Bombyx mori: one gene and its partners. The main gene of each other region encodes a partner of the protein of the gene in region 4 in a complex. Links are inferred from orthologs where the notes say so. Each region holds a gene or a part of one and is shown on either strand. Other genes may lie near its edges.

Region 1 (4,260 bases), on a different chromosome or scaffold from region 4:
TGAGTGGCATTGAAATTTATGAATTGAACAACGTAGTTCTAAAAATCTTCTATAGCTAGAAACTAAGTAAGGGATTTTCCTGTTACGCCAGAAAGCATTTCGTCCATTAATAACTTCACAAAGATTTTGTAGTTTTAAAATTAAAGGGTGTCCATGATATTGTTGAATTTTAAATATAAATCTATCAGAAAGGTATTGTCTACGCAAAGATAGCGGCGGTTCAGAGCATTCTATTTGTAAAGCATTTATTGGAGTACTATTCATGGCTCCAATAACGATCCTGAGACTTTTATGTTGTAATAAATCTAATTTATGTAGAGGTTCTTTGTTTTCAAGACAAAAAGTTATGGAGCCAAAGTCTAATATACTACGTACCAAAGCATTATACATTAACCTAAGTACACCAGGATGAGACCCCCACCAAACGCCACTTACAGCTCTCATAATATTTATGTTTTTCTCACATTTTCTTACAATGTCGTTGATATGAGCGTTACCGTTCATACTAGAATCAAAAATGCGACCAAGAAATTTCGCCTCTTTAACCACTGGTATTCGTTCTCCATCAACAGAAATATTTACGGTGGGAACTTTTCTTTTCCGCGTAAAAACAACTATGAGACTTTTAGATTTAGATAACGAAAGATTTTGGGCAGAGAGCCAGGATGATAACTTGTTTAATGAATCGTTAAGAGTTTCCGCTGCTATTTTAATATCACGGTTAGCAGAGTAAACTAAGACATCATCTGCATATTGTAAGATGGAACAGGAAGGATCAACATTTAAATGGAGATCGAAAGTATAAATGTCATATAATAGAGGACTTAGAACAGAACCCTGAGGGATACCTTTCCAAACTTTTCTTATTTTGTCCTCAAAACCAGGTATATGTAAAGAAATAGTCCTTCCAGTATATAAATTAAAAATGAAATCAATAAATTTTAATGGTAATTTTAAATCCGACATTTTTTCTTTTAATTTAATTAAGTTTACATTATCATACGCGCTTTGAATATCTAAAAAGGCTCCCACAACCGATTCAGATTTCGAAAAAGACAAAAAAATGTCTGTTGCAAAAATGGCATGGCTATCGGACACACCTTTACCTCTTCTGAACCCATATTGAGAGCAAGGCAAAAGATTGTTATGTTCTACGTACCACTCAAATCTTTGTTTAATTAAATGTTCTGCTAATTTTACCAAAACAGATGATAACGCTACAGGTCTATAAGATAAAGGATTATTTGAATCTTTGTTAGGCTTTAATATAGGTATTATAATTTGATGTTTCCAGGAAGAAGGTATTATACCAGTGTCTATTATAGAATTAATTAAATTCAGTAAATATGATAGGGTTATAGGTTTTGAATTAATTAAGAAAGAGTAAGGAATACCATCACATCCTGGAGTGGAGTCTGATAACCGGTTCAATACTAATTGAAGTTCCGGCAAAGAAAATGAACACGCTAAGTTATTATTAATATTAGAGTTATCTGATATATAAGAGTATGTATAAGGCAATTGGTCAAACTTAGGAACCATAGTGGGTGCGATATTGTCCAAAAAAGGATTAATCCATTCTTGCGATGTATAATTTCTAGATGGGGCTATAAAAGAAGATCTAAACATTCTTATATTTTTCCAGATTAGGGAGGATGGCGAATCAGGCGAAAGCTTGGAACAAAATCTTTTCCATCCCTCTTTTTTCTTTTTCCGAAGAAGCCTTTTAGTGGCCGCTTCAACATTTTTATAAAATAAATAACTATGCATGGTCAAACATTGCTTATTAAGTTTTTCTGCATCATTTCTTTTATTGACAGCTTCTGTACATTCTTTGTCCCACCATGGGGGAGAAGATATTTTCTTATGGGCAACATTCTTTTTGGGGATATGTTTATCTGCAGCTGCTAAGTATGCCGTAATAAGGTTATCATACGCCTTGTTTATGTTGTTATAATCATCAAGAGTAGATAAACTTGGAAGGGACATAATTTTCGATTCGACTTCTTGACTAAACAGTTCCCAATCATAGTTATTTAATCTGAACTTAAATAACGGCGGTAGTGGATTAAAAGTGCCTGTTTTACCAGAGGGCAAGGAAATTAATAAGGGATAATGATCACTGCCACAGGACAGCGTTAAACATTCCCAGTTTAACAGTGAAGACAAACTGGCTGAACTAAGTGTAATATCAACATAACTTGGGGCTTGACCCGGAACTGGGCGACGAGTGGGGGACCCATCATTCAGAACACAAAGATTATGATCATTTATTATCTCCATTAAGCCATTTCCCATGCCATCATCGTTGGGTGCTCCCCATAAGAAGTGGTGAGCGTTGAAATCCCCTAGAACTACTATTGGTTTGGGTAATGATTGAATGATTTTGTCTAGTATAGGCAGAACAGATAAATCCTTTTCTGAAATGTACACAGATAGATATGTTACCTCACCTACTCGGGCAGCCACTGCTTGTAAAATATCCGAGTTAAAAGCTGGGATTGGCAAAGAAGAAAATCTGTGATTATTACGAATTAAAAGGGCTGTGCCACCATACCCATCATGTCTATCATGTCTGAGAATATTAAAACCGGCCATACGGAAATTGGAACCTGGAACTAACCAAGTTTCTGATATGGCTAGTAAAAAAATATTATGTGAATTAATTAAAGATATAATTTCATGTTTTTTAGGAACTATACTTTTACAGTTCCACTGGAGGACTCTGTCCATATTTAAAAATATTGAAAATTGATAGTGAAATATTATTTATAAGTGAAAGAGCAACATGTTCTGGTAGTTCTGAATTAGCAATAATATTTATAAGTGTGGATAACAATTTATTTAGTGTGTCAGAAGATGGCAACTGTGTATCCTTTTCTTTGTTGGATTGCAAAGCGGAACCTAGTTTACCTTGAGACTCATCAAATGAAATGCTGCGGATCAATGATTTATATTCTGATTTGTCATAACCCTTATTTAAAATAGATGCCTGTTTAGGCTTCTTTATAACAGTTTTTTTGTAAGAGACAGAATTTGAACTATCTACATCATTTAAACTTTGGGCAGATAGTGGAATAGATGATGTTATTTGTGAATATGATTTCTTTACAATAGGAAACAATTTAGAGGCTTCTTGGTATGATATGAGGTTTTGAGACATATGTTTTTTAATATTTGTTTGTCTACTAAACTCAGGGCAAGATTTGTTTGTAGCCATATGTTCACCTCTACAGTTAACACAAGAAAAAGTCTCAGTATTACAAGCCAGTCCGCTGTGCTCTCCACCACATTTATTACATCTAGGTTTGCTCCTGCATTGAACACGAGTGTGTCCAAAGCGACAACAATTGAAACATTGTACCGTTGGATAAATATACTGTTCAACTGGAATACTTGAAAAAAAGGAATACACTCTAGAGGGAAGAGACTGTCCGTCAAAAGTCAAGACCACAGTTTGAGTAGGAATCCATGAAGTTCCATCTGAGTTGACAGACTTCCTGTTTAATCTACGGGATTTGATAATTTGTCCATAGCCTTCTGGGATTTGCAGATTATCTACAATGTCCTCATGAGTCCACTCCTGAGGGATACCCTTTATCAAACCCATTTTACATATATTATATGTAGGAATCACTACATTATACAATGGATTCATAGACATGTTGGATATGAAAATATTGGCATCACTATGTGTTTTAAAAGTTATTGCCAGGCGATTACGACCTACTCGTTTAATTCCATCCTGTAATATATTACCAAGATTGCTTTTCTTTAGAAAATTTCCAAATTTAAGTGGGTGCAGTGATGTAGTACTATTAGAATCTGAGATTAAAGTAACATGGACCATATATGGGCCAGGATCCTGTTCAGTGTATTTTTTTCTGTAAACAGAGTCGGCCATTGGGGTCTCAGATGGTGTCATAGAAGGACTCGCTGAAGTAGGCTCTGGTGAGGTCTGTACAATTTGGCGAGGAGGCACTATAAGCTTATTTACGTTATTTGCAAGATTTCCCGCCAAAGCCTGCTGCAGCGGGCGCAACGAAAGTTGTTTGTCCGAGATCTTTGGTTTAAAAGAATTAACAAGTTGTTTCTTTTTTTGGGATTTCTTCGATTTAACGTTGACAAATTCAGATACATTGGAAAGGTCGAACTCATCACAGAAAAATATTGGTTGGCTAAACCTTGAGTTAGTCGTATCAGTTGTCTCCTCAGTAATATTCGGATCCGGGGGATCCGTTCCCGCCTCCAACTCCATAC
Region 2 (3,500 bases), on a different chromosome or scaffold from region 4:
TTTATTATTAGAAAAGAAAATTAAATATAAATAAAAGATAACCCATTTTTATTTATTTATATAAAAATTAAATACCTCGTTCGACATCATCTGAAGTGCTGCGATGTTCGTGTGGCGGTGAGATTGCTTCTAAATAATTGCTTTCCTGTTGATGTACGAAACATAATTTAGACTTTAGAATCTTACGTGTTCAACCTACTAGTTAAAAGAAGCAATTTTTGTGCCCCCAATACGGCACAAAAGTGCCGACTACCAAAAAAAACGACTTACCTACTTAACCGAACAAATTATCACAGTAATTCGAAAGAAATAACATATTGTATAAACAATACATTAAGAAAATTCCATTTATTTAATATGATATATGTATAAACTTACCCTCTGTAAACGTTCTTTGGGTGATCTATCTTTAATTCGGGTTTCTTCTTTAGACCTTTCCTTTGTGGAGCTGTAAAAACGTTACACTATAAATGCACGAACAGAAATAGAAACAGTTAAATGATCCGAGTCAGTAACAACGAGCATCAACCAACCTAAATCATGGTATCGACATTTACAAGTCGACATGTTTATATACATAGTGGTAGTAGGACCTCTTGTGAGTTCGCACAGGTAGGTACCACCACCCTGCCTATTTCAGCCGTGAAGTAGTAATGCATTTCAGTTTGAAGCCACAGCCGTTGTAACTATACTTGAGACCTTAGAACTTATATCTCAAGGTGGGTGGCGCATTTACGTTGTAGTTGTCTATGGGCTCCAGTAACCACTTAACATCAGGTGATTGATTTACTCGACCGATTATATATTCGTATTGTTTTAAGTCTACCTCTTTAATAGTGGCTATACTTAAACCGGTCTGACTATAATCATGCTCATGAGTAAAGAGGAATCATTGACAAGTATTCGCAAAAGGCAGTAGTGTATAAGTTACTCATAAAAGTAAACACCGAATTATGAAAAACAAAACTTTTTTATCCACTAGAAATGTTTTTCGGAACGAAATAAAAGTTTAACAAGATCCTCAAATCGCGGAGAAAAAAAAAGCATTGAAGGTAGTGTACGTACGTTTTTGATTCTCTTTTGGAATCTTTATCTCGGTCCGCTTCGTCTCGGCGGCGGTCGCTATTGCGCGAGTCCCGTTTTTCACTTTCTGTAAATAAATTTAGCTAATATGAGAAATTGATAACCAGTCATGAAATCAGTAACAATTTATACCTAAACGTATACATAAGACGCAATCTTAATTTATAAATTGATCTTTCAACAAATATACAGGATAATTTTGAAGGCGCAATAAATGTTTCTTTACTTGTGTACTCCCCAAATTATCTTACGAAACAAAGTTTTTGTGAGCATTACCGTTATTTATTTTCCTTTCAGTCACAACATCTATAAGCCGCGCCAATAAAGAAACGAATCGAAAATGGCGTCTATGTACCTGATAGATAGTAGGGTAAACAAATAACAAGAAAGATAGAAAGAAAAAGTTGTTTATTGTAAAAAAATATAAAAAAACAAATGAGAATGTACTTTACTTTACATCACTGTGAATGACTTTTCCTCGTTTGTCAGAGGCCATATTATTTACGACACGTGGCGCAAAAAAACGATAACAATAACAAATTTAACAAAAATAACAAAATAACAACGAAATAACAAATTTGAGAGAAAATAGATCGCGTCGAGACAGTGTGAGAAAAAATCAGAACTGATATTTTTTTTTGTATGCAGTACGCGCCGTGTGCGATTAAAGACAGCAATAGCTTAGAGTGAGAGCGCATGATCGCCGCCGCCATTTTAGATTCGTTTCTTTATTGGCGCGGCTAATGGGTATATTTGACAATCATTATCAAGCTAGCTACCCGATCTGCAGATATAACTCTGTGGGAGTGTGTAAAGACCTTGTGGTGGGGGCGCGGGTGCAGGGGCGGGTTCAGGATCTGCGACCACTTCTTCTTTGGCGGGCGCAGCGCTGGCGGCCGCGGTGCTCGCCGCTTTGTGCTTGTCGCTCATCTAAAACATACCATACACGTTGTATTGCTGTATCATCTATGCCTTTATTATTTCATCCATACTTTTATTTTGTTAGATTTTTAAGGTACTAACATAGATTATAAGTAACTCTTACTAACAAAATGTTATGGTTTTAAAAAAAAACTTAAATAAAGTATAAATAAATTAAATAAATAAATAAAAATATTTTGTATGGCAATCGATTTCAAACGATTTGAGACTTTAAAGTTCAAAATTCGGTACTTTAGACAATTATGTTTTATTTTATGTTTCAACCACGAAAGTAACACTTAATTCAGGTTGCTGCCACAAACTCGACAGGTTCTTCAGTAGCATAAAGTTCGAACTAACGGCTGCTTGATTAATAAAAAGTTTCTCTGATACAAACAAAAATATTATCATTACGCCATTTCCGTTCTATCACTCGTGTGCACACAGAGTATGCTTGTCGACTTCAACTGTACCGAGGGTAAGCAATGGCTGTACAGCGCTTCCACACGGTCTTTCAAGTGACAAACCCAAAGTTTATATTAGGAAAGTCTCTTCTGTACTACTTGTCGTCATTTCACTATCGAGAACCTGTCTTTGTACAAATCCGCCTATAGATGATAGCAAAATGTTACCTGATGGAAATCAGCTTCATTCATCATATTCGAGGACTTGTTCCGTAGCTGTCCACTGTAGACCGTTGCTAACACATAAAGATCTTGTCTTTGTATTTTCTCTTGTTCCTTAACCTGCAAATAATCACTGTTAAGATTTACTTTGTCTTGTTGGAAATTTGGTTAAACGTACGATACCAAATAATACCTTATCAATTTTCTTTTCGATAATTTGACTTAGCTTAGCCAGAACAGGAAAATGAGGTAAGACTCTTATTAGAACTATGAGGGCGTTACGTATTTGCACGTAGTCGCCTGAATCCAAGCAAACAACCATTGCTTTGGTTATTTTATAATGCCATTTGTGGCACACGTGCCTGAAAACCGATTACATGATTAGTGAACATTCGAAGTATCGATTACGAGTTATCGATTTTTTTACGAATTAATTTGAAGTATTCAAAGAGTGAACGATATAAGTTTATATTAACATATTAGATCACCAGAAGATTTTCGGTTGCTTTTTCGAAAGCTTTCATGATTTTGTGTCTACCACTTTATCAATTCAGACTTAAGCATTTTCATGCAAACACATTAATCATGCAGTAAGATCAGATCACAGTATTGCAGAAATGTAGTCCACCTGTAGTTTTCATATCCGACATGATCATTAGCTTCAGTGAACTGCTTGGAGACGCGGTACTTGGTGACGAAGCCGGGGTAGTGCGCGCACTCTCGGTGGAAGGCGTCCTTGTCGGCGTGCCAGCGCATGGCGGTCGTCAGCACCTTGCAGAGGAACGTGCCGTACCGCGCCGCCTCCGCCTCCGTGCAAGACATCACCGAATACGTGATGTCGCAAAACAACTGCGGGCAAATTCATTTTTC
Region 3 (4,137 bases), on a different chromosome or scaffold from region 4:
TTCTCTCTGTGTTACCTATCCTTTGTGTCAGTGCCTAGACAATCTAGTTAGTTGAAGCAGCTTAAATACTACTGCTCCTATGATACCACAAAATGGGAAATTCAAACCACAGCTATATAATTTGTCGTATTTCTTCTTTACGGATCATACCATTTCCACTTTCTACACTAGCGTTATTTTGTTGATTCTTCGAACTGTAACTTGCTGTTTACAGGTAGACATTTTTCAACTTGTCCCCTACACAAGATGGAATACTCCTTAGTTCTATCCTCCATGGCAAGAATGAAGTAAACTTCAGAATACATACAAACTTTAGTAGCAGCACTTACAACTAACAAATACAAAACTATTTTTATAGTAATGTTGAAACTATTTCCTTCTAGCAGTGAATTGATGAATTAAATGTTATAAAATACTAACGTCATAATATGTACGCATCCCAGTCCGTTGGTGAGGAAGAACAAGTCCGATGTATTATTCCATGATATCTCGTTCACTTCAAAGTTAAACTGTTCTTCTGTTACCTGCAATAAATAAATGTCTTAATGTATGCAGTAACTAAATCGATACAAATCACCCTATATTCATGTATTTGAAAAGACAGAATCTCTGGTATGTATCCTCTTTGAGTGGTATTTTTTGGTATTAATTGGTCAATCTTTAAAAGAGTGTCAATAAAAAAATTACAATTGGCTTAATAATACTATTTTATCTGGATGATACAAGAAATATGACCAAGTTAGACAGTGGATTTTAATGATTTTCATACATTTTATATATGTAGTTGAATTTTTATCAATGCTGTGAGAGATGATAGATATGTATGTACAGTCAAAATCTGTTATAACGACATCGAAGGGACTGCTCAAATTCAGTCGTAAAAACCGATAGTCGTAACAACCGGTGATGTTTAATGTGTATCGTGCAAGTACAAACAAATCGATAGGGAATTATTGGAAAAATATATTTATACAACAACGTACATTTTGTTTATTACACATAAGTACAATGCATATTAGTTTTCTGTGAGCATAAAATCTGTAATTTTGGTCTGTTTGGAACACTTCTGCTGTGCGTAGATATTTTGTAATTCACGTTGGATTTTAATTAACGTATCGTCATCGCTCTTTCCAAATGGTTGAAATTGTCGAGTGTGATAACCATATTCCTTTGCTAAGTCTTTGTTTGAAATTCCGCTCTCTAGCTTGGATATAATCCGCGATTTTTCTTCAATATTAATTTGTTTTCTTTTTCATTGCGACATTTTTAAAGTTTCACGAATAACTCCATAAAGTTTTGATGCGTCTTGTGTATAGATAAGTAACAAACTAACTGAAGAGATATGAAGAAGCGGGCTTTGACTCTACTGCATGCACGTGTTTTGTTTCTAAGAATTAGAAAAGACCCTACACTAAACTAAATCCTATTGTTTTCTTTCCTGATTTTAATATCCATTGAAGACAAATGTGGATACCTATTCAAATTGTTTACAATACAGCTTAGCTGGTCGTTCTAACAGATCTAATTCTCCGAAATATTAGTTAAATGTGGTCGTTATATGAGGTATGTCGTTATTAGCAATGTCGTATAAAGCAATGTTTTTAATAAGGCGGTCATATGGCATTCAGCCGGGACCTTTGTTCTAGGTTATTATAACCGGTATGTTGTTCTAAACGATGTCGCAGTAAACGGTTTTGACTGTATATAAGTAAAAATTCATTACTCACCACTTTATAAGTTTTTGTATCGATAAATGAAACTAAATCTTCCTTGTTCCCTACCGCAATGGTGTTGCCATTAGGAGACCATGCTATATTTATGTTTTCACCTTTGGTTGGGATTGTCGCCGCGCATTTGTGTGATCTATAAATTTTATTATCCTGTAGAACACCCTTAGATTTTCTATATTATAAGAAAAATTTAAAATTAATAGTTTAAATTAAGTCACCATGAAAAAGCCAACTGAACTCAATGGTATCAATCTTGTTCAGGAAGATATATTATGAAAATTTACAATAAAGGTATGCCACACTCTCTACCGCAAAATAGTATTAATGTTCATTTGGAACTAACACTTGTCTTTTATGAATACGATGGAATCTCAACTATTGTATTCATGTGTGTTGATATAAAAATTTCTAGATGTTTATAATTTTTTTTGGATATCTCATATTAATATTTATTTATAAAGGGCTAATAATTAACATCCCAGTATTACCGTGTATCCCATATCCTAACAGATTTGTCTCCGCTCGCTGTACTCAGGAGATCAGGATGTGACGCATGCCAGCAGAGTTGATCTACAGAGCCTGTGTGGCCTTTGAAAATAAAATCTTGACTCTGAAATTTACAAAATTTGTGTCTACTTATTTTTATTTCTAGGCTGCACAATTTTTAAGTTATTGCTTAAAAACAAAAAAAAATTTATTATAACCTCTCAAATTTAGTAGGGATTTTAAATATTTTGAAATAAACAATAACTCACCAATCTACTCCTCTCTAAATTAAATATTGCAACGCTTTTATCGAATGACCCAGAAGCCAGCTTTCTACCATCACAGGACCAGCCCACGGAATGTACTTTGGATGAATGTGCAATGTACTCGCGTGTAGTATTGTGTGACGCAAAATAACTACGTAATTCACTTAAATCTTCTATAGGAGCTTGCGAATGCTTTGAATCCTTCATAGCTTTGGTTATCATGTAAAATTTAACATTAAAATTTTAGTTGTTTTCCTGTTAGTGTTTTTTGTTTATTTGACGACTGTTCCTTTCATCGGACAAGCAAAGGAAATCTAACTCATACAGGCAAGTCTTTTGTAATAAATGCCAAAACCTCTAAGTTGTATGAAATTAAGACTATTTGGCAGCAGCACGAGAAGCAAAGTTGTAGGAATGATTTCATTATTTTATAGAAGTAAGATGAAACAGCGCTCATAGAAATGATGAGAATTTACTGAGATTTCCGGGATAACCGAAGCTACGTCCAGCGATTTTGTTATCCTTAATTTTAACCTTTTAGGGTCGTATTAATGCGGATCTGGGTTTGCTTTGGAAGCTGAGAGTAGACCTCTCGTTCTCGCAAAAAGTTTAGAATGCTTTCTAAAAATATCTTTGTAAAGTTCATTTCCATAAGTTTTAAGGTGAACATTACAAAAAGTTACAGAAAACCTTAAAAAATAATTTGTATGCCGAACTTTTACCTTATAATCTTGTACTGTACCTTAGTGTTCGACATTTATTTAATTAACGGGTTGTTACCAGGTTGAATGGATTAAGGCGTAGAGGTGAAGCTGAATACGTTCTGAGATTTAAAAATAAAGACAGTAGAAGAAATCAATTATTTATTCGTCATTCACTTGCCCATGTATTCTCGTCGCCACACCTTTATTTGGCTCATGAAGTAAGCCATTGGAGTCAACCAAACTGTGAGCATAAACGCGCAGTGCAACAAAGCCTCCTGAAAAAAAAGGGAAAAGCACAACGAAAATAGCATTAACAATAAATAATGTATCACATCACACAGCAAGCAGCACTTGGTAAGCCGTGGCTTGGCTCTGCCCCTGGCATTCCTGATGTCTATAACTCATAGACTATGAGCGACGGTAACTACTTACCATCAAGTGGGCCGTATGCACATCCACTTAGAAAGGCAATAAATAAACACAAATATCTGCACATAAGTGCGCAGAGAGTAATTTTTCTGAATTAGTAAACTGATAACCATCCGACATATTATTTTTTAAGTTTACTCATATATTTTTAGTATCAAGCGTTACTTTCTGTGTTAAGCCGCTTGTCAAAATGGAAGTTCGTTCGGTAGAGATCCTTTATACGCTCTTTAAATGGTCTGGGACCTCATCAATCACAATTTATATCTTTTAATGCGTCTGCCGTGTTAGTGGATGTTAGCTTACCTCAATCATCGTTACTTGAACAAGCTTCACTGCAATTCTTTTTTTTTTTCTTACCTATTCTAGTAACCTCAAGGGGTTATATTAGATTTGCCGAACGACTAACTGAGCTCACGAGATTTCTAATCTAGTGACGTTGCTAACACTAGCCCTAGCAAGAGCAGTGCTTCGTAGAATCTATCAGCGAATCGGAAACGCGACCCACTGCGAAGATCCGGCGAG
Region 4 (4,092 bases):
CAAGTACCGACTGGGCGCAATTGGTTAAATATTGTTATCCAAAAAACTTTATTGATGTTTTAATGTTGCATACATGCATATTTTACATTGTCCATTAAAAGCTCAAAATATGTACAGGTGACTGAGAAAATGAAAAATTAAGTTATTTAAATATCCTAGAGTAAATTTTACTGAACTTATCATAATATTAGTAAATACTGTATATTAGTCGTCTATTATCAAAGGTGGCAATCTGTGCATTTGGACAAAAAAATGTTATTGATATGTCAATACAGATTGATTTGAATATAATAGTCTCCTTCAAAGAATACGGTTCAAAACCTGCATTAAATAAAGGTTAATACTTAACCTGTTATTTATCTAAGATGTCGCTCATAAGAGTTTTGTGACTACCAATGGAATACAAAGTCAATAATTCATTTTTCTGATTTACCAATAATTTTCCAAAAGTCACATTACCGGCTTTGATAATAGTCGACTCATATAATAAAACTTAGGTCTCGATTTAATTTCATTTAATTTTTTCCACCTAAATATGCTTATAACTATCGAAAATGTAAAACTTGATCTTTGTAATTAAGAGACGTGCACAAATCTATTTCTGGACTGGAACCGGCTAAACTTAACAGGGTGCTGTATTTAGTTCTTAGCACCGCACTGTATATGGTCGTGGCAGACACTGGTAGTTCTACTCTCACCTCACCCGAGTAGCTCATTTGGTAAAAATGTTTAGAAGTACCACCGGCAAACACACAGTCATCATGAAAGAATGACACATGAATCCCATTGTCTGGAATGTCAAAGACTGTCACTGCATCTAATGAACGAAGGTGCCACAGAGACAATCGAGGTCCACCACCGCATACCTGTAAATTTTTTATATATTCCATTATTAATTATCACCCAGGTGTTAAGTGGTTACCAGAGCCCATAGACATCAGTACGTTGTAGATGTCTATGGGCTCTAGTAACCACTTAACACCAAGTGAGCTGTGAGCTCGTCCACAATCTAAGCAATAAAAAAAATTCTACAATGTAAATGCGCCATCCATCTTGAGATATAAGTTCTAAGGTCTCAGTATAGTTACAACGGCTACCCCACCCTTCAAACCGAAACACATTACTGCTTCACTGCAGAAATAGACAGGGTGATGGTACCTACCCGTGCAGACTCACAAGAGGTCTTACCACCAGTAATTATGCAAATTATAATTTTGCAGGTTTGAGTTTCATTACACAATGTTATTCCTTCACCGTGAAATCAATTGTGAACATTGGTCAAGTACGTATTTCATTAGAAAAATTGATACCTGGCTTGTGGGATTCTAACATTGTTGCATTGCTAGATATGATTGCACCGGACATCTTATCCTTTAGGCCACAACGACTTCGACACAACTTTCCTTAGGAATGCTATTGATGGCTTAAGAGGGTTTTAAATAAAATAAATCGCCTTTTACAACACACACAGAAAAATATCAGTCACAATATTATTATGTAAATTCCCTATTAAACAAAAATAATTTTTTCACTGATTTTCATTTTTGTTTTTATTTTCACCTCTGGCATTTTAATGATAATATGTATGAATAATTAGATTGATGATAGATGAACTTACAATCCAGTCATCTCCAAGAGCTGCTGAGCCAATCCACTTGCCAATATCAGGTCTGCTGACCTTATTATTAGTGTGCGGTTCCAATTTATTGTGTGATTTTCCACTTCTAGTATCCCAAAGCATAACCAAACCATCTTCGCCTGCTGAAATAATCTGTTGGTTTCTGAAATTTTTTTTTAAATAACTTCTTTATTACTGTAATATTAGCCATAAGCATATATGTATATCACTGTCAGGGCAAATATATTAGCAGCTGAAATAAGGCAAATAAACAAACAAACAACTTACTTTCCATGAATAGAATGAATAAAATTATTATGTCCCTTATAAGTTGAAATAAGGCTCCCATCTTCCAAATTAAACACATACACATTATTGTCTCCACAACCAGCATACAGCTTCTCACTGTCTTGAGATAGCCACATGCAGTTCACATCGTTGTAGTCCAAAAAAGTTTGGGAAGGAATCTTTATGCTCCATACAGGTTTTGATAATTTAACAGAAACAACAGCCTTCCAGTCCCATCCGCATATTTCATTAACGGTACCAATTATAAGGAATTTTTCCGTTGAAACTAGACTACAAATCTGTTTTTTTGAATCTATAGAATGTATATGTTTTGGTTTGTTGTATTCAACAGATAATAATTCTAGTACTGGATTTAAAATACGATCTAGGCTGTAACAAAAATTTAGAATGAATTTATAAACCTCTCCAAATATTAAAATATACTTCTATAAATTTAATACAAATAACATACTCAAATACAGCAAGATCTCCATAAATATTGCCGGCCACTAAATATTTACCACACGGCGATAAAGTCTGAGATAAAACAGTGTTATACAACATTTTATTCAACATGGTAAAAGTTTTGTGTTTGCTCAGAAACTAGACTACTTCGTCAGTTTTTCTAGATGCCATGCAATATTTTAATTGAAAAAGAAACATAAACAACCATAGGTAAACAACACAATTTAAAGCTACATATAACCTCTATTTCGAATGCAGCGATTTTTTTGCGGCATACACTCTTTAGGCAAAGGGAACAGTGTCCATGCTCTATTTTAAAAAACCAAAATGATTTAGCTCTATAGCTCTTTATGACGAATTGAGATAAAATTAAGGCAAATTCACCCTGTATAAGAACAGAAATTTAGTAAGACCTAAGGTTATTTTTTTAACAAAGGAAGCTATATAGACGAAGCTATCTTTCCACAAATCAACTTAATAAATCACGTATTAATTTATTGACTCATTACTATTATAGGTTAGAAACATTTTAATAAAATGAAATAGGTACTTCACTTTACTCTTACTAAAACTCTTATTACACTATATTATTATGTACTCTTATCTAAAACAAAAATATTGTGGTTTTATTGACATTTGCCTAAGTTTCTTTTCATATATTTCATTTTGTTTGCCGAAAACTCATTAAATCATGTTACATGTATTATTTTTATTCAAAAATTATGCTTTTTATCTTATTGTTTAGCGATCTCAAAATAGAAAAGTTATTCTAAAGTTCCAATTGATTTGCTTGACTTTGTCATTGTCAGTTAAAAACTATAGATAAAATGAAACATCTAAATTCATAGCCATTTCGTTGTCTATGAATAATTCAATCTAAAAAAATCAAAACCAAGCAAGATGGTCGTGTTCAATTCTTTTTAAACATAAACATATAATCTAATAATATTGTGAGTTATTGATCATTAACGTTGATACATTTTTTGAAAGAGAAATTGTTATTTATAGATTATTTTACTAACTTTTCTGGGAGTTTCTAATCTCGTGGCCTAATTCAGAACCTTCAATTTGCACACCGTAAGTGTTACGATTGGTTTTAGGTATATAATACGAAATAATGTATAATGGGATCGGGTTGACGACGCCACGGGGCTCCGGTACAAATGGCTACGTACAGAGAAATTGGGCCACGGTAAGAAAAACAAAAGACTCCGTCAACTACCGGACTGAAGATGAGATCGCCAAGTTGGATTCGGCGTCAAACAAACAACCAAATAGAGAAATACTCGATCATGAGAGGAAAAGGAAGATTGAAGTCAAGTGTGCAGAGTTGGAAGATAGCCTGGAAGAACAAGGGTGAGTAGTTAGCATAAATACAACAAATACACAGAAATCGGATTCATGGTATTGGAGATTTGTTCCGGGGATGGTCTCTTAAATTTTTATGATATGAGGTTGGCACACGTTGGGCTTTATAAATCAACATTATTTTGTAATTCTTGCTACCTTTTTCAGGGTTTCCAATTATTATATATTTTTTTTCTAAATTTAATTTTGTTTGGTAATTTAATATTCATATTATTAGGCTTTTTCTTCATATTTCAAGGAAACCGTGATTACTTTAACAACTATGACAGTCTGCTAATAATATTACTAATGAGTTATAATAACTGATGATAGCAGTAGGTAATCATAGGAAATTTTATGTGCTGTGAGTTTTT
Region 5 (4,080 bases), on a different chromosome or scaffold from region 4:
GCTTCTGTCCAAGCAGTGGGGTTTGCCCGAGGCCCGTTCCGTGCCCCTGTAAGGGGGTACGACAACTCCTTTTATAAATGAACTTTGATGTTGCCGTAGCTTTAAATATGACTGTTGATGTGCTGAAATTGAGTGTAATGACCATGAAAATTTTTTGAAAAAGTATTTCTCATTGTTTTTGACAGACTTCCACATTGAACGAATAACATCACCAGTAGCTACGTATAATTTTTAACCTACACAGGTAGTGATGTTTGGAGGTGGAGCAGTGATACGCTTAAGATCTAGGCAGTTTCCAAATCGGCAGATGCCGAATGCAGATGCATTCACTGTAATACAGTTGAATTACGATAACCTCCTTAAAAATGTTTACACTTGTGTACACAACTACAGACTAAAAAGAAATCTATACAAGAAAATTTCAAATCTGGGTTTATTTATCCAATTTAATACATGTACTAGAATTATAATTTCTTTATAATTCGTAGTCTTTTATTAGTATAACCTATACTTTTACAATTAATCTAGAACATTGAGAACACAAAGCTTATTCATTCATATTTTAAGATAAAACTGAGTGTCTATGCACATTCTCATTAGTTATTCACTTGATTTCTTTCACATATGCATCAAGCTCTGCATCTAATTGTTCTGCAGTAGGTACTGGTCGTTTGCCTCTGCCTGCACCACCACGTCCTCTTCTGTTTCCCCCACGTGCTCCACTATTGCTTTGATTTCTAATTCCTCCACCTCCTTCAAAAATAAAATAATTAATGGATTTCTAGTAATTTGTAACTTGCAAACAGTAAAGTGAAAATGTACAACAAGAACTAGTGGGAAAATATCAGTTTTAAAAAAAGTAATTAATTTTAATAATGTTTTTTTAAATGAAGGATTTAGGGCCGGAGGCCTTTCCAGTTACACCACGAATGCTTAGCCAGAAGAGAAGGGTTTGCTAACAGTTGAACACCTCCGAAAGAGGTCTAACACAATTCATGGGCAGCTGCTTTGCAAATGAATCTACTACCAGATCAGTAGTCTGTCTATGGATTAGGTTGCACATCAAACTCTTTAGAGTTCAATGAGTATGGTTAGTGTTAAAGCAGGTGTCTAATGCAAGAGTTATTGGATCTGATGGATCCGTAATTATGTGTCTAGGACATCAACAGTTAGTCTCTGCTGTGGGTAGAAATAGTCAGCGGCAGCAACAATATGGCGATTATCATGACCAATGGCCTTATTGAAGTATCTTTCCGACAATAACTAGGTGTTTCCAGATTGATTCGACTAAGAGGCCATCTTGTATATGGTGATTTGTCACAAATCACAATGATGTAATTTGTTATCACTCCTCCCATACAAACAAATCCTGGAAAATATCTTACCTCTTTTAGGATTGTTTCGTATAGTACCTCCCACACTCGCACCACCAATTCGATTTCTAGCCTCGGGCCTTAAAGTATTGATTTCAGATGTTGCCAATTGTATATTCATTGCCCGTCCATCAAGTGGCACTCCGTTATACTGTTTCATAGCCTTCACAGCATCTGCTTTTCTTTCAAACACAACATCTGCAGTACCTAAAAAAATTTAAAAATATCTTGTATGATGAAATACTTAATGGAACAAACTAAGTTTTTATGCTTTGTGATACATACCTAAAGATCTACCTGACCGATCATAATGTACAGATGCACTTTTGAGGATGCCAAATTCCGAAAATAGTTCCTTTATATCTGAATCTGATACTCCAAAGTCCAAATTGGATACAAGCAGCTTGGTAGGACCAGTTGTTATGGTCCCACTGTTTCTTTGAAGTTTCCTCTCACCAAAATCATTGAACATATCATGTTTCCAAGTGCTGTTCACATCACCCTGAAAAGGTCATCCTTCATAGAGCTAGCCATGTGGCTACTCTCTATGCCTCCTTTGAATATAATAAAAACTCAAAGCTTAGGCACTAAAATTAATACATTGACATCTGAACCACTTGATAAAATAACATTTGATGTAGTTTACATGTTTTTTTTCGAAAATTAAAATATAGAACTGTTTTATCACTTTCATCACACAGACACAAGACTAATAAGTTATGAAGCACAACCAGTCTCAGCCGTCCATGGAGTCCATTTATTTACTTTTCAACTCCTGAAGTCAATTCTATAAATTGGTCAAAACTGCACTGTAGACATCTCCACAAAAGTAACGTTTTGCTCGAATTCATTACACTTTTATATCAGCATCCATCATAGAATTTTCCGGCAGATGTAGGTAAACAATGCAAAACAAAAACGTTGATGGAGATAACAATATGGTTGCTGGGATTATGGTTTCAAGTTGAAAATAGGTCGGATACGAATAAAATAAGGGTCTTGATTTGAATCAAAGTGTCAAATTTCGTCTAAAACTATTTCAACAAGATGGTCCATATGGTTGCTTGACTTTTTGAGAACAAATTAGATACATTGATGCGTCACATTTGCCCGCCATTTGTAATTTTAGAATCATCTAATTATTGGAATTACCCTCGAATAGTTGGTAGATTTCGTTATGCCTCCACGATTTCTACCTCGTTGTACACCACCAGAGCGGTTGCTACGAAATCCAGCACCGCCTCCACGTCCTGTTCTTTTGTTTGCATCAAATTTTCTTCCAGCACCACCTCCAATCCTTGTCTTTTTGTTGGCTTTTATAATATCATCCAGTGCCATTTCAATTTGATCAACCATGGTGATTATTTGAAATTCTAAATATTTTTTCTATGAAAATTAAGTCAAAAACAAAAACAATCCTTTTAGAACTCTTCCTTCCCAAGTAGACGGTGACAAAATGGCCGAAGAAAAGATTCGTTATTGCCAGATTGCTAATATTAGTTCAACAGTAGATTGAAAAAAATTGTTGAGCTTTAAATTTGGTAGAAATTATAGTCAATAAAGACTATCTTACACATCTGTCTTAGTTTATTTTATTTTACATTTACCAGTTGATTTGGTCAAATCTTTCTGTTTAAAAAATTAAGCGCTTAGTTTTAATCTTTAACTAGGTAATCAAATCACGTAATGCTAATGCACTCAAAATTCAAATATTAAGAAGTGTATTATTTATGGTTCGAGATTTTTGGCGCGAGGAGTGAAGTTGTGTGTTTTGTTTTATTTTGTCTATTTAGTGTTTCTCCAAGTTTAAATGTGTAATAACGGTGGTTTATAACCTGTTTAATATCTGTGAAAGTGCACAAATGTGGGAAAATTGAAACAAAGCCGCTGAGCATAACTTTTTGGGATCCTCTAAAAAGTCCACTGAAAAAGTCTCAGTAAATGACTACCATTTTACTGAGATTATATTTCATCCCATATCATCTCATCTCATTTCATTTCATTCCATTTCATTTTCATTTCATTTCATTTCATGTTATGTTTCATATTAATCAACTTCATTTCATTTCATAAATCATTTTACATATAAAAAATATATAAAAGATTACGCTTTATGGTATGATACCTTTGCCTTTCCAATAATATATTAAGTGTATAATCTATGAATAAAACTGCTACTACTATCTATGGTTCGAATTTTGAATTTTATAGTTTCCTCAAGCTTGTAAACCAATCCACAATTTAAATAAATCGTTTTTATTAAAGTATCTGTACTTACATACTAGAAGCGATTTAAAAATACTGTTATAAAAACAATATGACTGTTGGGGAAACAGGCCAAAATTTGCCATGGTATGAACTATCATTAACAATGATTTAAACAAAAAAATCATAACTCAATATATTTTACTACGACGATTAACACTTTGTTTTTACGCAGGGTTGAAAAATATCGCCCAAAAAGATTGGATGATTTAGTATCTCATGATGATATAATAAAAACAAGTAAGTATAAATTTCTGAAACTAATGATCACATTATTTTAAAGAGACTATCAAATTTAAGGCTATAAAAATTGGACTTGAATCAGGTTGATATTAAGTTGCTAACCGTAATACGAATACCTTATAACAGTTAATGCATAAACCCCCTCTTCGTACCAGTATGTTTTGTACATTGTAACATAAAGTAAAGGATTTTTCTTTTT
Region 6 (2,674 bases), on a different chromosome or scaffold from region 4:
AGACAATAAAGTTAAAGAAATAGGAGAAAATAGCTATGAAAGTGTGACATTTTGTTTTTTATTAGAATATATTCCAACTTCCCAGCTTCGAATAACTGCATGTCAAAAAGCCTATGACATATTGAAACCTGGAGGGTTGCTTACTGTTACCACACCGGATTCAAAACACGTTGGAGCAAATAGCAAAACAATGAAGTGCTGGCGTTATGCATTAGCCTTAATGGGTTTTTCAAGAATTCGTTATCAGAAATTTCAACACATGCATTGTATGGCATTTCGAAAGTGTTTATTGAAAGATGTAGCTATTCGCTGGGCTAATATTCATAAAGAACCTTTTATGGAATATGCACTACATATACCACAAGATTTTAATACTAATGAAATTAGTAAAAATTCTGCCCAAAACCAAGTCATCCATCACATAATTGATGATTTTCAAGAATTGCCATTCTATAACATGAACGAATGATTTAATATGTAATTAAAATGCTTAACAAATATTGACTTAGTAGAATGTTTTATTTATTTAAAACAATACTTATATACTAATCTTAATTTGTTAGAGTAGACTTTCCATTATCAGAAACATGTTCTATGCAACAGCACCAAATTTGGCTTTACGTTTTTCCAATTTCTCCTTTAGTTCAATATCTGTCATTATTTTGGAAACAGATTCACCAAACCTCTCTGCTCGCTTTCTAAGTTTTTCCATATTTTCGTTTAACGTCCCTGTACTAGTGAAGGTGTTCTGATTATCATTTTGATTAAACCTTTGTTTCCTGGCTTCCTTTCTCTCAGACTCGGACATTTTAATAGGCAAACCAAATCTTTTAGCACGCAACTCTAACCTTTTCTTTGGATCTAGATCAGTATTTATTTTAATGACATTATTACTTTCGGATGCCGTTTTCGGCTCTACAGATTTTTCATTAATTTGATCATCAACAGTTTTAGAACTGACAAGTGAAATTGATGAGGGTCTATTCAACACAATTTTCTTTGCACTAGCATTTTCTGCACTTTTATCTTTGGTTTCTGCGTTGGTTTTGCGTTTTAATGTTCGTGTTGATTTTGTTTCTACAGCGATTGTCGCAGTAGAAGACTGTTCCGAAAGAACTAAATCTTCGTTTAAAGTGTCCACGGCAGTATCATCAAGTACGTCTGTTTGGCTTTTAACTTCTTCGTCTTCAAAAACTCCGTCCGAGTCCATTTCGTCAAATTCAAAGTTGATGTCGGTGTGTTCATCTTGAGATATAATTGCAGCTTGTAGTCTAGCGATTAACTCTGCTTTGTCGCCGGCGTATGAAAGTCCACGTGATTTTAATTCTTTACGTAGTTCAACAACTTTCATCTTAGTCACATCGGAAACTGTTGAATCCGCCATAGTAATCAAAAGTAGTTTACGTTATTGAACAAGGAACTTTTAGAATGCTTACACGCGATGCTTAGCGTTAGCTTACACTAGAAATTAGAAATACGAAGTGTATAATCTATGTTCACTACTTTTTTTAAGAGATTTTATGACCTGGTAACTAACACTTTTAGGTCATGTCCTACTTTAATATTTAATATTCTTAATTTTATGAAAAATTATATGGAGTAAAATGAAATTAAGTGAAGATGATTAATTTGAGACATTAATCAACCAGAATGAAATTAAATTAAATAAGATGAGATGATATGAGATGAAATAAATCTTAGTCAAATATTTACGGAGATTTTATCAGTTGACTTTTTGGAGGATCCCGAGAAGTTACGTCCAGCGGCTTTATTTCATTTTCCCACATTTTTGCACTTTCACAGATATTAAACAGTTAATAAACCACCGTTATTACACATAACGGCCATCTGGTGTAGTGGTAAGTGACATGGTCACTACACAAGGGGGTCGCGGGTTCGAATCCCGCCAAGGGAAGATATTTGTATGATAAATATAAATGTCTTTTCCAGGGTTATGGATGTATATTAAATATATGTATGCGTATAATAAAAATCTTACATTTAAATCCGTTATCTGGTACCTGTAACACAAGTTCTTTACGAACTTATCACGGGACCAGTTAACGTGGCGTGATTGTTAGTAAATATTTATTTATTATTATTTATTATTTAAACCTGAAGAAACACTAAATAGACAAAATTAATCAAATCACACAACTTCACTCCTCGCGTTCCCGCCAAAAAGTCAGTTAGATTACAACGTAAAATGGAGCATAGATTACACGCTTAATTAAAATAGCTGCGAAATTTACACAACAACGTAAGTACCTGACAGACTAAAAGAGGGTAGAAGTTTAAACAGCACAATCTCTGAAAAAATGTGTGGAAAAGTGATTAAATGACTTTTTTACCGGGAACCCGGCATTGTGTGAATTGATTAATTTTATTTAATTTAGAATTTCATTTCGTCATGCTTAAACGTGTTATTACGGCAGCTTAAATTCCGATCCGGTGATAGATTCTGCGAAACACTCCTCTTGCTAGAGCTAGTATTAACAAACTTTCTCAGATTGAGCAGGTTGTAAGTTCACCCATCCGCGAGAACCTGGAATAGGTAGGGAAAACATTTATGTAATTAATAAGTACAAAATCTCTAAAAAATGTTCCAATTATACGCCGTATTTCTAATCAAGTGATATTAAGAGTGTTCATGTCGTAACTACGTTCATGCTTT

The links.
Region 1: the proteins of THO complex subunit 6 (region 4) and THO complex subunit 1 are in contact, whole or in part, in a cryo-EM structure (PDB 7APK), measured with the Homo sapiens proteins. The link is inferred for Bombyx mori from reciprocal best matches to the Homo sapiens genes THOC6 and THOC1. Residues at the interface, in NP_001334633.1 of Homo sapiens: Leu57, Ser58, Ser59, Glu60, Pro312, Glu313, Lys315, Thr330, Asn331, Gly333, Tyr334, Ala336; in NP_005122.2 of Homo sapiens: Ser227, Pro229, Ile230, Asp231, Tyr232, Leu234, Arg236, Val270, Ser273, Tyr274, Asp309, Leu312.
Region 2: THO complex subunit 6 (region 4) and THO complex subunit 2 share a complex: the UniProt entries of both Homo sapiens proteins name them as parts of the transcription/export (TREX) complex. The link is inferred for Bombyx mori from reciprocal best matches to the Homo sapiens genes THOC6 and THOC2.
Region 3: THO complex subunit 6 (region 4) and THO complex subunit 3 share a complex: the UniProt entries of both Homo sapiens proteins name them as parts of the transcription/export (TREX) complex. The link is inferred for Bombyx mori from reciprocal best matches to the Homo sapiens genes THOC6 and THOC3.
Region 5: THO complex subunit 6 (region 4) and ALY share a complex: the UniProt entries of both Homo sapiens proteins name them as parts of the transcription/export (TREX) complex. The link is inferred for Bombyx mori from reciprocal best matches to the Homo sapiens genes THOC6 and ALYREF.
Region 6: THO complex subunit 6 (region 4) and SAP domain-containing ribonucleoprotein share a complex: the UniProt entries of both Homo sapiens proteins name them as parts of the transcription/export (TREX) complex. The link is inferred for Bombyx mori from reciprocal best matches to the Homo sapiens genes THOC6 and SARNP.

What each region holds. Positions count from the first base shown.
Region 1 is NC_085117.1:15,880,659-15,884,918, forward strand, and holds the start of THO complex subunit 1, read right to left. Parts: upstream 2,801-4,260; 5' UTR 1-2,800. UniProt on the Homo sapiens protein: Component of the THO subcomplex of the TREX complex which is thought to couple mRNA transcription, processing and nuclear export, and which specifically associates with spliced mRNA and not with unspliced pre-mRNA.
Region 2 is NC_085119.1:9,008,740-9,012,239, reverse strand, and holds part of THO complex subunit 2, read right to left. Parts: intron 3,480-3,500; coding exon 3,259-3,479; intron 2,993-3,258; coding exon 2,824-2,992; intron 2,751-2,823; coding exon 2,637-2,750; intron 2,014-2,636; coding exon 1,902-2,013; intron 1,151-1,901; coding exon 1,066-1,150; intron 449-1,065; coding exon 379-448; intron 146-378; coding exon 76-145; intron 1-75. UniProt on the Homo sapiens protein: Component of the THO subcomplex of the TREX complex which is thought to couple mRNA transcription, processing and nuclear export, and which specifically associates with spliced mRNA and not with unspliced pre-mRNA.
Region 3 is NC_085132.1:2,065,620-2,069,756, reverse strand, and holds the start of THO complex subunit 3, read right to left. Parts: upstream 2,801-4,137; 5' UTR 2,705-2,800; coding exon 2,486-2,704; intron 2,341-2,485; coding exon 2,219-2,340; intron 1,864-2,218; coding exon 1,728-1,863; intron 525-1,727; coding exon 421-524; intron 1-420. UniProt on the Homo sapiens protein: Component of the THO subcomplex of the TREX complex which is thought to couple mRNA transcription, processing and nuclear export, and which specifically associates with spliced mRNA and not with unspliced pre-mRNA.
Region 4 is NC_085116.1:3,183,656-3,187,747, forward strand, and holds THO complex subunit 6, read right to left. Parts: upstream 2,660-4,092; 5' UTR 2,483-2,659; coding exon 2,379-2,482; intron 2,297-2,378; coding exon 1,907-2,296; intron 1,782-1,906; coding exon 1,619-1,781; intron 867-1,618; coding exon 546-866; 3' UTR 501-545; downstream 1-500. Other genes in the region: serine/arginine repetitive matrix protein 2, read left to right, coding at 3,489-3,727. UniProt on the Homo sapiens protein: Component of the THO subcomplex of the TREX complex which is thought to couple mRNA transcription, processing and nuclear export, and which specifically associates with spliced mRNA and not with unspliced pre-mRNA.
Region 5 is NC_085114.1:10,512,187-10,516,266, forward strand, and holds ALY, read right to left. Parts: upstream 2,787-4,080; 5' UTR 2,730-2,786; coding exon 2,526-2,729; intron 1,876-2,525; coding exon 1,659-1,875; intron 1,581-1,658; coding exon 1,386-1,580; intron 754-1,385; coding exon 605-753; 3' UTR 501-604; downstream 1-500. Other genes in the region: replication factor C (activator 1) 5, read left to right, coding at 3,691-3,725, 3,814-3,878. UniProt on the Homo sapiens protein: Functions as an mRNA export adapter; component of the transcription/export (TREX) complex which is thought to couple mRNA transcription, processing and nuclear export, and specifically associates with spliced mRNA and not with unspliced pre-mRNA.
Region 6 is NC_085113.1:6,731,124-6,733,797, reverse strand, and holds SAP domain-containing ribonucleoprotein, read right to left. Parts: upstream 1,385-2,674; coding exon 593-1,384; 3' UTR 501-592; downstream 1-500. Other genes in the region: S-adenosylmethionine sensor upstream of mTORC1, read left to right, coding at 1-469. UniProt on the Homo sapiens protein: Binds both single-stranded and double-stranded DNA with higher affinity for the single-stranded form. Specifically binds to scaffold/matrix attachment region DNA. Also binds single-stranded RNA. Enhances RNA unwinding activity of DDX39A.